Linked DNA regions of Arabidopsis thaliana. The protein of the gene in region 2 interacts with the protein of the main gene of each other region in a pairwise test. Each region holds a gene or a part of one and is shown on either strand. Other genes may lie near its edges.

Region 1 (5,854 bases), on a different chromosome or scaffold from region 2:
CTTTGTAAGTGCGATTAGTGTTACATTTTAGGTTTTTTTCTCTAAGTTAGGATTTTGTTTTGCTTTGTTACGGTTTTTGCCTTTCAGTGTGTGATTAGTGAACAAATGAGGAGCTTTTAGTCACGTATTAGGGTTTGTTACGGATTTTTGCTTGTGCATTTTGCTTTTTCAGTGATCAATGAGGAGCTTTTAGTTAGGTTTTAGCGTTTAATACATCCTCCTTTAGTTTTCTCATTATTTGGTAAAGAAGCTATCACATTGGTTCTCGATCTAGCCACATTTCTTTTTGTCATTAAAATATCTTCTTTTGCTATTTCTTCGATAAAAATGTCGTCTTTTTTAGGGTTCTTTGTTCTAAGTTGTTGGGATTTGTTTAGCTCTTGCTTTGGTATGTTACGGGTTTTGCTTGTGCATTGCCTTTTATTTTTAGTGTGATTAGTGAACGGTGAGGAGCTTCTTCGTTAGGTTTTAGAGTTTAATCCTCCTTTACTGTAGTTTGCTCATTCTTTAGTATATAAGCTATCACATTGGTTCTCGAATTTGCCACAAACGTCTCATCGATCTGTTTTTACTTGCCTCTGAACAATAAACTCTTTGTTCAAACCGCTTCACTTTGGATCCCTTCTTAGTTAATGTTCTTTCCATTTTCTCTGTTCACATTTCATTAATGTATTTTATTGACCTTGGAAATTTTCAGGGTTAAGTAATTGCAGATGGCACTCCCACCCTATGATCCCAATTTCAAATTTGCATTCTCTCTTGGCACGATTGCGAAACACCAAGATTACGGTAAAATTGCCACTCTAGAACATACTCATAAAAGTACATAGCTACTCTGCTTTGCAAGATGTGAGTGAATTGTGGCTGTAGAACTAGTATGTTGTTGAATCAATGCTTTGCCTCATTGCTTTAGTTTTAGCCTGAATATTAGTGCAAGCCAAAACTTTACCCATTAGGTTGATTCTGCTCATATTCTTACACCAATGTCTTAAGTTTTGTTCTTGTTGGCTATGATAACTTGTTTGCTATGATAGGTTTTAGATTCTCTCAGATATTGTGTGTTAGACCCTTAACGTGTCTTGTCATTGTACGTTTTATCATGTTTTCAAATCATATTCTTATCTTGGTAACATGCGAATTACGTTCAGATTTTGATTCATGTTTCCATTTGTGTTTTTGTCTTTGCAGATGAATCTGCTTCTGCTGCTGTTGTAGCGCTTGATCTGATAAGCTCTGCACGGTTTGCACTTAAGCTGGATAGTGTCTATACTGAGTACTCTGCTAAGTATGTGGTGGACAATGCTGCTGGCTCACACAGTGGGCGCAAGCTCACTGTCAAAGACTGTCTTGAGTTTGCCTTAAACAAAGGCGGCATACCGAAAGCAGAAGATTGGCCACGCTTGGGATCTGTGATAACGCCCCCATCATCGTATAAACCTGATCTCGTTTCGATGAAAGGACAAGTGATTGAGCCTCAGACTATTGAGGAAGCATGTGACATGGTGGTGGATCAACCAGTAGGAGCAAAATTGCATGTGTTCAAGCCACACATTGAACTTCAACAAGACGCAAGTGCTATAACTGTTAGTTAAGATTCAATATAAAACGAGAGAGAGAGAGACATTTGATCTATAATATTTGTGTTTTTGTGTGGTAGGGCATTTACTGTGGCACGTCAGGTGAGCCAGCCAGCTATGTCGGACTTAGAGATGCCATCATCGTTGGAGTCGAGAAGATCCAAGGGAAGTCTATTGGAACTGTGAAGGTATGGTACAAGAAGTTCATATTTCTGAAAGTGGCTATGAGCAGGTGGTTTCAGTTATACTCTCCGGATGGCACACACACGGGCATAAAGCGAACAGATTACCTTGTTGATTTTTGTGTCCCACGCCTATCCATGGATTAAGCAAGAAGATGTTTTTTATCTTCTTAATAAAGTATCTATCTATCTAGAGAACAATATGCTACTAGTGGAAGACTTTTGTTTAAGAATAATGTTTCAGGAGACTTTTTAAGATATGTTGTAAGCTCAGAAGTTGATTTCTACTTCTAAAGAATGTTATATGTTCCACCAATTTGGCATTTCAGCTCCTGATCTTAGACCCCTTGAATTGTTTATGTTTTAGTTTTGTTAAAGTCAGTCCTCGTTTGCAGGAAGTAGCCATGATTTGATAACAAAACATGTTATTTTGATTGTCATATATGTGAATAAAATCCAAAACTAATAAATAAGCTTTTGGAGTCCCAAATTATGGCTTCTGCTCTGGATTGTTGTTGTTTGAACTGGACTGTGAGTGTAATCTTCAGGTCTGATTGTTGTTGTTGCAGAAGCCGAAGAACTTCAGTTTTAACGATACGTTCACCTCAAGTCCTCTCTCTTTGAACAACAGGGCGGTGTGGCTTTGGAGCTAAACCCCAAATAATAAACAAAGGATCTTTCAAGATGTTTTATCAAGGAATAGAAGTGTACAAGTTAAAGGGAGAGCTATTACCGTTGGGATTGCCTTGCTCATAGAAACATTTGAAAAGAGAGACAGCTTCTTCTGCCATTATTCCTCCTCTGCACTTGTATCCTTTTCCTCTTTGAGCTTCCTCACTACCTAAGTGAAGCGACAAAATGGAACCACATCCCCCAAATTTATCATTTGGACATCCATAATACACTTCCTTGATACCTTCAATTAAGAGCAGAGTATATCACCTCTCATCAGAAACAAAACAGAACAAACAAACTGTCTAATTCAGCGTAAGGATTCATACCGAGAAACGATAAGGCCGATGCACACATTATGCAAGGTTCACATGTTACATAAAGAACACATTTCGAGAATTTCTCAGCGACTTGTGAAGGTGAGAGTCCATCTTTCTGCCACTGTCCGACAAGCTGATCAATTGCTTCCATCTCTGCATGTCTTGTGGCCTGTTCAAACCACATTGTAACAAATGCCTTAATATAGATGAATAAACCGAAGTAACAATCATACGTTTCTGAGTCACTCAATAAAACAAGATAGAGAGAAACAGTGAAAAAAATAGACTATCCAATAAATGAATGAAGACAGTAGCTTATAACTAGAACATGTATAACAAATCAAGCTTAGTTACTTGTAAAGGTTTGAATAATTACATTGCGTGTCTCATTTGTTCGGTTTCGCCCTGAAGCAATGACCTTACCGTCCTCAAGAAAAACACATCTGGTCCACACAAACCAGAAAGAAAACGCATTAGTTATCCTATATGACATTAATTGATACACTGGTACGAAACACAAATTGGTATGAAGCCAAAGCAAAAAAATAGAGACCCCACGGGAACTTCAAGAGCCTCCAGAGCAAGTTTAGCCTGCAGGCATAGGGAAATCAACTCAAAAGCAACAAACTAACTTTTGCAGTATTATAGAACCAATACTAGTTTTACCTGATGCAGAGCAAAACCCATATAATTATGAGAATCCTCACAATGGTCCTCTTCCATTAACTTTTATAGTTGGCTTGGCCAGAGAAAGTAAATAACAAAACCTGATAGCAAAGATTCAAAAATCCCTAGTTATATAGCTAAGTAGAGGATCAGGATACTCTTTGGCATATCCATTCTAAAGAGAAATTTCTCAAAGAAAACTCTTTTTTTTTTACTTGCAATGTTCTCAGTTTATATGTGTCTACCAAAACTGAAACTAAATAGTAAAATACACGTAACAGAGGAGTGTCAGGAATACAACTAATCACATTATGCTCTCAGGGATGAATCAGATCAAAAAGAAAACAATGCTTGTGAATTCAACAGAAGAGCTATGAACATAAGAGTCACAAACACCAAAAAGAAAGGTAATAGAATTGGAACTGTGATTATTCTGGATGAAGCAAAGAATCGAAGTAAGAAAGAAGAGACAAACCAATGATCTACTCGCTTACTCAGACCGCAACGATCAACAAGCTTCCTCACAATCGTCTCTGAGAATAAAAAACTAAAAATATCAATCCTAAATTTTGTGAAAAACCCAAACCATATGCCAGCCAAAACGTCGTCGTTTATGGATATAAAAAGTTTAAAAGAAAATCATGATTTATTGAAGAGTGAAGTAAAACATAATTTAGGGTTTTGTTCAATTTCGGTTTATTCGGGTCCAATTAGTTTCCGTGTGTAAGGCCAAACCGAACCAAACCAAAAAAATCAATTCTTTTTATTTACATTTGGTCAGAGAGTTCACAAATTTAAAGGTTAGATGCCAAAACAACTTCTGATTTTTATATAGACGTCAATATACACACATCATCTAATTCTTGGTGGTAACTCTGTATCAATTCAATAGTACAGATCATCAAGTGACAAATATAGAGGGAAAGAAGAATGGTTTCATCATATAGTTTGACACTTTGGTATGTCCAAAGGATTTGCCTTTTTACCGAACAAAAGATCAAACATGCAAATATTGCATCACCATAACTATATTCCAAATTAGGTGAAGAAATCACGCCAAATCGGCAAGAAGAATAAGAAAACAAACACATTTGAAAGTCATGAACAAGGAACCAACTCTCTCTTTGTTTTGTGGTCGAAGTAATAAACGCTTTAAACATTTCTCATCGAGCATTATGCAGATGAATGCAGCTACGAAATGGGGAGAAGATAGTATCTTCAAGATACAATGCCAAGAAAACTTATCGAAAACCAAAAAAAAAGTGATCATTTCATGCCAATCGATCAAGATACCTTAGTAGAATCAGTCACAAATTTCCGTATAAAAAGGGTAGGACACAATGAAGGAGAAACAACCTCAAGAAACAGCTAAATTGGGTTATGTTGCTCTTACAGGTTTTGACATTGTGTAACCAAGATCAATCAGCTTTCTAATCAACACTTTCTCAGCTTTTGCCTACACAACAACACAAACAAGAAACAAACAATGAGTATTATCGAATAAAGCTAGTCCCTTTCACATTTCTATAATACAATAGCTCAAGTAAAAAGAAGAACCTCAAGCAAGGGATTGTTTTTAGGGATGTTGCAAGCCAGTATTATATTGAGACCAGTCTTCAACACTAGAACACAGAAAAATACACTGAATCATCAAGAAAGAAAAGGATTTGAAATTGCAAGAATTGTTATAATCAGAGTCTAACCTAATCTACGCGCAATGCCAGATCCAGTGTTATCAGATGTTCCACCAAGTACCGATGTAACACTCACTGTATTGCTCTGCCATAGAAACAAAAAAAAACATCAATTTAAACAGAAACCCTAAAAATTGCTGCTTTAGTTAGAATCAAGGTTTTTACTGAGCTCACCGGTCGTGTTGAAGCGGCTGCGTACAAACTCCCAAATTTGGCGGAATTGCAACCGACCCATACGTAAATCTGTAGTTCGATTAAGTCCAATTTTAGTTCCGACGAAGCTCAAAGACTTGAGAATTAGGTTAAAAGGACCAAGCTAAGTTTATTGGCGGGAACCTGTTTCGCGAGACGGATGATCTGGAACTGGATAGTAACATCATCGAAAACTTCAGTGAAGCACGAAACTTTTACGCCGTTTCCGTCTCTTTCTACGTCGTCGGATTCTCCGATTTGGTCGGCGATGTTCACCTGAGCAACGGATCGAAGAACTTGGTCGTATTCAGTCTCCATTGTCTCCCAAGTCCGAGAAAAGTCAGGTCCTCTTTGGCTCTTCTTCTTCTTATGAAAATCAATTTCACTTTTTCATCTCCGGTTAAATCTGATTTGGTACGGTTAAATACGGTTTAGACCGGCTCAAGTTTTTAGATGGTATAAATCTCAATTGCGAAATTCCTCTTTCTCCGTCGTTGCTCTTCTCCGGCGATACGAGCATCTCTGATCCGAGCAATTTCACTTCCTGAATT
Region 2 (9,280 bases):
AACCTAACACAGGAGTGGAAAGAAGATTTAAGGGTTTTAAGAAAGTATTACAGATGATGAAGCAGAGGAAGACGAAGAAGGATCATCAGAAGAATGATCATCAGAAGCGAGTTGCAGAGCCAAGTGGTGATCGGTTTCGATTTGTGGATTGATTTCATCGTCTTCGAAGTGGGAATTCACATGGCTGAGTCAAACCATCCACCATAACCAGACAAACACATCAAGACCTCGAGAGAATGCAACTAAGAAGCATATAGAAATAAGGGACACAAAGCTGAAATTAGGGATTGATACCTTTGGATTAGGGAGAGAGGAAGCGTGAGATTGCAGACAGGACACAAAGCTGACATCTTTATAACCCGGGACAAGAAAAAAGTCGCCTTTTTTTCACTCTTTCGTTTGTTTTCTCGCCGGAAGAAATCAGAAATTGACCTCCTCCGGTGATGATCAAAACGCCTGCGTTTAATTGGAGTGCTTGTGGTGCATTGATTATTTCTATTTTTTTTTGGAATTTTTAATTCTTAATGATTTTTATTTTATTTTTGTGTTAAAAGATAAATTTAAACGAGAGAAAGTAGAAAATAAAGAATCTTAATTGGCCAATAATTATGGTAAGTTTTAATGTGAGGAACTAATATTTCTCTTTTGGAAATATAAATCAGAGATGCATGTACACGTTTTACGACTCAACAAGTCACAACGTTGGTAACAAACCAATTTTTGAGAATCTCTTATAAATATCACATGTGTGTTTAGTAGGTCTCTATGTCTCAAAACACAAAATATCATAACAAACAAAAAAACAAGAATGGAGAATTCAAGCTTTGAAACACTTCCTTATGATCTACAAATGAAGATTCTGTTACCGATGCCTCTAAAAGTCTTGGCGAAATGGCTATGCGTCTCAAAGCAATGTGCATCATTTATTTGCTCCGTAGAATTCAGAGAAATTTACTTGAGTTGATCAATGAAAAAGCCTCGAGTGTTGTTCGTCACCAATGTTTTACCAATCTACCAAAACAAACCCGAAACGTTGTTTCATTCTGTTTGTCAAGAGGAGGAAGCATTGTTCTTGTCTTCCGGTCAACAAGAGATGTGTACCAACGAAACACCACTTTGAAATGTTTCTAAACCCATCCAAGGTTTGATTTGCCTTCAAGATACTGAGGTTGCGATTTAATTTGCAACCTGGCTACGCGAACGTTACGGAAATTACCGCAGATCGAAAGGTCTAACGGAGCATGCATGAAAAGTTTTTTCGGATACTACAAAGCTAAAAAAAGTAATCAAGTTGATATGTATAAGTTTAACTAATAATAACAAATATCATGTATGCACGGTCATGTAATCTAAGAAAGTAACCAAGGTGCGTACCAACGACGCACCACTTTGGAAAGTTTCATGTGTTCTTTAGTCGAAGGATTGATCAAGTAAATGTGCCTAAAATCGTCATGGATCTGAATCAAGACCAATCCATCACAAGATCCCAATACTTGAATGGTTTTATTTTGACATTTGTCGATTGGATCATCAGGAAAAGTGTAGTAACAAGAAGAAGAATGACAGTTTTTTCCGTTGTTATGGTCATCTCTAGAAAAAGTCTCCAAAAGAAAAGTTATTGAGTTGAATCTTCTTCAACAAAATTCGCTGAAAAGTGTTGACTAACATGAAGATATTTCATATTAGGGGTTGGTAAACCTGTACGAACGAGTCATTTGTGGGAAAAGTAGGTTGATTTGATCATTGATCTCCATTTTTTTACAAGACTTTGAATCTAGCTAGTGATTTTATTGGAAGATATTGAAATATCTCTTCAACTATATCCTCTGATATAATCATTGTCGTAGGATTATTTTTTATGCATTGAAAAAATTGTCTTAGAATTATTATGTTTGTCACCCTCCATTCTTTTCGTACGATGATAATTCTTAGTTTAGATTTTTATATCAATATATAAAGAAATTAATGATCTAATCTTGGAGTCTTAAATTTATATTTAACATTAATTGTGGCAAAAGAGAGATTTAACACTATTAATCTACTTTAGAATAATGAAAAGTAAATAAACAAATGTACAATATGATATAATCTTGGATTTTAAACTTTAGATCTAACATTAATTGTGGCAAAATAAAAATTAACACTAATAATTTAGTTTACAATTATGAATAAGAAATAATAAATGTCTATAGGCTATAAATAAGTGTATATATATACAATCTTACAATAATTTAAAATATTGAAATGCAAATCTTACAATATGAATATTGTAAAATGATTCTAACATTGATCTAATAACATATTGATAATTTAACTTTACTAGATTATTGTAATAAATTTTACAACAAATTTAAAATATCAAAATGCAAATTAGTGTATTAAGGCAAAAACAAATATACAAACAACCCTTTTTCTTAAATTTAGTACAATTTATAATTTTAAAACACTCATACACAGGTCTTAATCTAGACTTTTTATTGTTACATAATTTTTTTTTCACCTATCAAAATCTAATACATACAAATATACACGTGTTGCGCGATCAGATGAGCTTATAACTTTGAAAACCAAGTTTGAGATTATCACCATTTACCTCATAACAACCTCTTTCGTCTTTCAGCTAATGACGATTTTCGAATGGCGGCAATCGTCAATCCTCTGTTGTTAGATTAAGAGAGCGCAGTGCAAGAATGATTTCAGTTGGGCCATGCAATGACCTGATACTACAGTAAGTAGAGATGCATTATTTCATGTGAGGATTGGTTAGTGACGGTTCGTTTCTTGCATTCTGTTGTTTCTCTAAAACACAAGTTTCTGACTAGAGAGTACTGAGCCATACACAGTAATAGAAGTCGAAAGTTTTTGGTCTACATAATAATTCAATAAGATTCCAGATTCTTGGAATGAACAAGAACAAAGAATTAGCTTTCTCACCCAGAACCTGATTATCAATCGACTACAACAATGCATTAGACCGTGGTCATTTGTCTAAGTGCGTCATCAGGCAGCAAAACTCTAAACACTGCATAATGATGGTTCAAACTCTTTTCCCCTTGAAGTCTATGAACACTCCCGAGACCACCTGCCGTGGTGTTTGGAAAAGCATAGAAAATCCGTTTTATTCTTTGATGCACAAGCGCCATAGCACACCTTGGGAACATATCACGACTTTATTAGATACACACACTTGCAGAGTTTAAAAGGGTAATATGTATGTAGAAACTCACATTGTACAAGGCTCCAACAGGAGGAAAATGTCATAACCAGTGCAGAGGTACGGCCTTTCCATTGAAGGATCTCTAACAGTCTCTTCTCTGCTGTCATTTTGGACCTATCGATAACTCAGAAGTGTAAGAGAGAATGCTGTACTAGTCAAAGCATGTGGAGGAAATTAAAAAACTTGGTTGGAATGAACTTACGTCTGGACTCTGACTGCTTGTTTTCTGCTTTTTAGCCGGAGAATCTGTATTTGAGGGCGGAACATGATCCTGATCAAAAATCTTGGATGGATTGGGAAACAGATTTCTATCTCTGGCAGAAGAGGATTCAATGGCAACCATGGAAGCATGCCTAAGAGGATGCCACTGGCTACAATTTTCAGTGTCATGCGGCTGCAAACTCCATTGCCAGGGATTCAGACAAGAAAGAGCAGACAATGAACCATTCTGTTTTTCAAGTGTGTCATTTAAACATATTTCCCCTGTTTCCTCGAAGGGCCTGGTCTCTGCGCTAGTCATGTCACGAGGAGCAGATGATGCATATACTTGATCAGTTTCACTAGCTATTATTCGCCTAACTGAAGGATCAACTATCACTGCAGCATTCACAAGCTGAAAAGTACATTAGAAATGTGGTAAATTGAGATCATTTTCTATGTAATGAAACGATGGTAAATCTTTCTACCAAGAGAACAAGGATTGAGGCGCTAAAAAAAGCAAATGGTACATGAAAAATGAATGGTCTGTTGTCTAAAACTTGATATCGACGTTATGTAGATCAATGGAAAATACTTACTGGTGTATGACCAGATACTGCCATATCAATAACAACTCTCATGAACTTGCAGATTGATTGTGTTTCCTCCTCGCTGAACCCACCGATGCCATCTATATTGCTATCATTGCCAAATGCAAAAAGTAAAAAATCATTGACTGTTGCACTATAAACAAAGACATATATTGCTATTACAATGCAGATAAGAGCACCAATAGAAACCATCAAGAAATAAGATTATTCTAGAACGACTAAAGCATATATAATAAAAAGACCAGAAAGATAATAAAGACTCTTTTGGTCACAAAACTGATTCTAGACATGGAGCTTACTAGGTTGGTGGATGAAATGAAGTAGGCCATATCTTACTTTGTTCTTCCCACTCTTCTTTGGATACCGCAGCATATTTGCATACCTATCATAGTTATAGCAGAAATATGAGATTGCACTGAAAATATAAATGAATGAGCAGAAAGAAATCTCTGACTTGGAAGCTAAATGAATCAAAAACCCTTGAAGCAAATAGTGGTGAGATAAGAGAAAAATAACCTACTTGTGTAATAAAAGGACTCAACTCATAGGGATCAACGAGTCTCTGCACATCAGGTGGCATGTCACTCAACTGATCGTTGTGCTCAGGTGCTAGACATAAGATGACAGTCAACTGAGTTTCACCTGTCCAATAAGCTTACAATAAAAACCTCATAATCTTATGATTGGTGTATCAGCGCGCTAAGAAAACTAACAATGGGATACCGCAATCTGGCAGAATCTTCTTCTTCACCCTTTTAACATGACGAAGATCTTCTAGAGGAGCAATCTTACATAAATGCCTATCATAGCAAAGTAAAAAAATTCACTCATGAGATTACAGCACTGGAATCAACGAGTCAAGAGTCGAAACAAGAATGACAAACCTCACTATCGTATTGGCAAATCTGGGTTTGATTAGGCTAGCATATACCTTCACTGTGAACAACAAGAACAACACACACACACACACAGAAGAAGAAGTTTAGATAAAGAACCTTTGATAGACTAAAAAACCAAACTTAGAGATTGAATCATACCAGTGGGCTGATGGTCAGGTGACAATGAAGGCTTTTCAGGTATATGGATAATTTCCCATGCATCTGAATCCATAATTTTATTTTATCTATTCTTGAGCCTGATTAACACCATTAGCTCAAACTATAAGAATTAGGGAGAAAACAGAGACGAAAAACTCCACCTTTCGCAGTGAAGTTTGAATAAGAGAACTCGCAAAAATTCACACTTTCAATTTCTAGATTCAATAAGAAGAGTGGTGAGTAAAACCCAGTTAAGGCTTTTCTAAGCATTCTTATTGAACAGCATTATCGAATTCACTAGTTAAATCATATTTCAAACCAAGTGCTCACACACAGATGCAATTCCAGAAACCGTAAAAGAAGGTAATTAATCATTACAGAGATTAGATTAACTCACGCTGGAGAGCTTGCTCCAAGCAACAAGACACAGAGACGCAGCGAGCGATAGCCGATAGAGAGGAAGGAGGAGTTCACCAAAAAGGTCAAGAAGACGACAGCTTACACGTCGCCGTTTTAGGTCTTATCTAATTAACCTAATTAAATTAACAAAGTCTAATTAAAAAGAGCGGGACGACAACTAAACCCTACGCTTACATAAAAACGCGACCTTTAAGAATTTTGTACGGCAACAGAACCAGAGAACGTTGACGGCTAAAGGCGGCGAAATGGACGTTGATGAGCGGAGCAGCTACTGTATCGAGGGTATGGTCGTCTGTTGAGATTGAACTCTCCGATTGATCCTGCAAAGAAGAAGAAGAACATCAGTGAGAAGGAAACAACAATGATGAAGAACAAGAAGATTGGAAACTAGAAGAAGAAGACGACGTAAGAGAGAGACGTGAGAAGAAGAAGAAGAAGAAGAAGAAGAAGAAGACAAGAGAAGTGGGTTTTATGTTTTATCTTATTGGGCTGATGAAGTTGTGTAGGCCCAAAGTGGTGAAGTATGTTTTGTTGTGGCCCATTCGTAGAAGTAGCTTATTCTAGCTAAGTACTTGAGGTAGAGTAGTTGGGGTTGTTAGTGGCTAAGGTAAGGTTGTGTAAGGTTGCTTGTATCCCTAAGTCTAATGTCTAGAAGTAAGGTTAAATAGTGACTAAGTTTAAGGTCTAAGAGAGTGGGTATGGTGAGTAGAAGAAATCTCCTATATATATGTGTAATGTGTGTAAACTTATGAGTGTGTGAAAGTATGAAAGTTTAAGAGAAAAAAAACAAAACAAACTTGTGTCCTAAGCAGAAAAACAACATCGTCGGAGATGGGGAAGGGTGTTCGTCGGTTCTCTACTGAACCAGAGAACGATGTTCCAACTTCAGGAATCAGTTTGCCTTATGCCACAAGATCATAGCTACACAGAATTCAATTTTTCGAAACCCACGTTTAGTGAATCAAATTTAGAGAACACACGAACACACTTTAACCCAGATTTCTTCGAAAACCATTAAACCCCAATCCTATGAATCAGATTCCAAAGATAGAGAATATATCAATCTATGAGAATAGAAAAATGAGAAAGATGAAAGATTAAGAGAGAGATATCGAACCTTTTTTTATGGCTTCTCACAATCAAAGAAGAGAGTTTAAAAAATAAGAGATCGAAGAAAGAAGATTGAAGAAGAAGAAGAAAGAAAAAAAAAAAGAAAAAAAAAAGAGACGTCGTCGTTTAGTGTTAAAGAAGAAAAAAAAAAGTTTGTAGGCATGTTCGTTTCATCAGTAAGATGGATCATTTCGATGGAGATGAGTTTTGATGTTCGTTTGGTGCCAAAAACGGTTCATTCAGATGATCCATCCAAATGAATCATCTGGATGAGTTTGAAAATTTAGGCTAAATTTTGAAACTCATTTGACTGAACTAAATTGGATCATTTGGATGGAGATGATTCAATCTAAAATAACAAATGACAAAAATACCCTAATTATTTCAATTGATTATTTAGATGTATTTTTAGATAAAATAAATAAATAGATTTAAATCTTATTTTACAATTATTTTTTAAAAAATAAAAAATTAAATTTTCTGCTAAAACCGCAAAATCATTTTTTTTGCTAAAACCGTAAAATTCGTTTTTCAGCAAAACCCGTACAATTACGTTTTCCCGCCAAAACCGCAAAATCATTTTTTCCTCGCAAAAATCGTAAAATTCTATTTTCCCGCCAAAACCGCAAAATCACGGTTTCCCGGCAAACCCGTAAAACCGTGATTTCCTGCCAAAACCAAAAAATTACGTTTTTCCACCAAAACCGTAAAATCGTGTTTTTCCGCCAAAACCGCAAAAATCACGTTTTCCCGCCAAAACCGTAAAATCACGTTTTCCCGCCAAAACCGTAAAATCACGTTTTCCCGCCAAAAACGTAAAATTTTGTTTTCCGCCAAAACTGTAAAATCGAGTTTTCCCGTCAAATCATAAAATCACGTTTTCCCGCCAAAACCGTAAAATAAATTTATAAATATAAAAAACTATTATTTGAAATTTATTTACTTTTAAATATATTTTAGATTAAGAATTAGATGAAAGCATGGGTATTTTAGGTATTTGTATTATTGCAAATCATTTGGATGGAGATAGAGATAAGTAAACGAACAACATCTCATTCGGATGGTCCAGTCAAATGAACCGACTAAAAATAAAACGAACAAGAGTCGAATGAATCATCTAGATGGACATGTTGAATGGATCAATTGGATGGATCTGTCAAATGGAGAAACGAACAGAACCGTAGTATAATAGGGCCAGCCCTATAAAAGCCCGAAACCTTTTCTGCAAAACCATATTTAAGCCCAAACGTTTCTCCTTTGATTTAATCGGGACCGGGCTTTTATTTATTTTAGCGGACCTGGGCCGACTCTAAATGTTTAGCCCATTTTAACATCCGTACTTTTTATGGTGATCTTGTAATGTTATAAAAACTGGAAATTATTTTCTACATGTATAGCGCTGTTGCTCACGTAACATATATAGTTGCTGATGTAATTGGGTGTTTTAAAATCTATTTAGGATATTTTGGATGAATGATGATTATTTTTTTAGTCAATTAGATAGTGGTCACTGATCAGCATCCATAGAGCATATTCCAACTAAAGATTTCAACAGTTGGTGACCGGTCCCTCTGTGTTTTCCAATATATTTAACACAACTTTACATAATTTTATAACCAATATTGTTTAAGATTTTGAATTATAGCTAAAAAGAGAGAAAAAAACAATATTGATTCGGGCCATCAATTTTTTTGGACCAACCTTTGCTAGGAAAACGAAGATACACATCATAAGGTGACGTATAGAACAAAACGAACAGACAAATAAAGCATAACAGATGTAGTTTGTAAAGAATAAATGGTGTAGAACGAATAGAACAAAAGCTGAATAGATATCTTAATTAGTTTGGTGCGAGTAACGGATAAATGAGTTATCAAATTTTGACTAATGTTTTGAAGTTTCGAAATATATATATGATTGTATTAATCGGTATTTAACGCTTATGATTTTTCAGTTTATACTTGAATCACCCTACTTCTTGAGGTTGGTGTGTTGTCCAAATATGATTCACAAAAACATGACCAAGAGTAAAATCAAACCGCACCGTATTATTTTATTATGCTTCATGACACCATTCATAACCAAAGTCTTCTTAGTTTTCCCCATACACACCAATAAAGATACTAAAGAAATAGCTAATAAGTAATTTAAGAACTATGAATCGTAGCCGTAACTTTAACTATACAAGAATAGCTGTATAATCGTGACAGCCCTTGACTTTGGGAGATATTGTCCAATACTCCAGTTAAGAGAAAGAAGTGGGAATGTGGGTTACATCGACAAAGGCTTTGCTCCAAGTTAATTAATGGCTATAATTGGCGGAATATATTAGTGGAAAATATAAAGGTGAGAAAATGATTTCTACATGCCTTTTAGCAATTAAGAGAAATAGTGGAAAACAATTATTTTCTCTATATTCTATGAAATAGCAAAACAGAAAAGAAAGAAAAAAGAAAAAAAAGAAGTTCCCCTTTGAAATAAGTGGGGTTTCATTGAAAATTCAAATAGTACTACTCTTTCATTCTTTTAGTGTCCAGTCAACGTTCTCGAGAAGAAAATATATTCAACGATTAGTTTGTTGTTACATGAGTTTATTGAATTAAGTTTTTAGAATGAATATATAAAATCTTGAAAATTGGATGCTTCAGAAGCAATTTTCAGAAATTTTGTTCAATTCATGGTAATAA

The links. The genes of interacting proteins can lie anywhere in the genome.
Region 1: the proteins of EMB2820 (region 2) and emb2191 come close enough for resonance energy transfer, tested with the Arabidopsis thaliana proteins (one study listed by BioGRID).

The regions. Positions count from the first base shown.
Region 1 is NC_003070.9:17,788,577-17,794,430, reverse strand, and holds emb2191 (Cytidine/deoxycytidylate deaminase family protein), read right to left. Parts: upstream 4,068-5,854; 5' UTR 3,893-4,067; exon of another isoform or gene 3,519-3,892; 5' UTR 3,475-3,518; coding exon 3,418-3,474; exon of another isoform or gene 3,343-3,417; coding exon 3,305-3,342; exon of another isoform or gene 3,245-3,304; coding exon of another isoform or gene 3,195-3,244; coding exon 3,128-3,194; intron 2,921-3,127; coding exon 2,761-2,920; intron 2,676-2,760; coding exon 2,493-2,675; intron 2,409-2,492; coding exon 2,365-2,408; 3' UTR 2,100-2,364; downstream 1-2,099. Other genes in the region: AT1G48180 (target of trans acting-siR480/255 protein), read left to right, coding at 714-789, 1,189-1,583, 1,658-1,906; AT1G48170 (proteasome assembly chaperone), read right to left, coding at 4,796-4,873, 4,975-5,039, 5,121-5,196, 5,286-5,354, 5,448-5,621.
Region 2 is NC_003076.8:8,444,736-8,454,015, reverse strand, and holds EMB2820 (Cytidine/deoxycytidylate deaminase family protein), read right to left. Parts: upstream 6,063-9,280; 5' UTR 5,671-6,062; exon of another isoform or gene 5,597-5,670; 5' UTR 5,461-5,596; intron 5,162-5,460; 5' UTR 5,137-5,161; coding exon 5,064-5,136; intron 4,963-5,063; coding exon 4,911-4,962; intron 4,827-4,910; coding exon 4,750-4,826; intron 4,681-4,749; coding exon 4,547-4,680; intron 4,409-4,546; coding exon 4,326-4,408; intron 4,115-4,325; coding exon 4,015-4,114; intron 3,831-4,014; coding exon 3,420-3,830; intron 3,332-3,419; coding exon 3,228-3,331; intron 3,151-3,227; coding exon 2,970-3,150; 3' UTR 2,935-2,969; exon of another isoform or gene 2,724-2,934; 3' UTR 2,447-2,723; downstream 1-2,446. Other genes in the region: AT5G24680 (Peptidase C78, ubiquitin fold modifier-specific peptidase 1/ 2), read right to left, coding at 52-184, 295-350. UniProt on the Arabidopsis thaliana protein: Involved in RNA editing. Catalyzes the specific deamination of adenosine-34 in several cytosolic tRNA species. Generates inosine at the wobble position of the anticodon loop.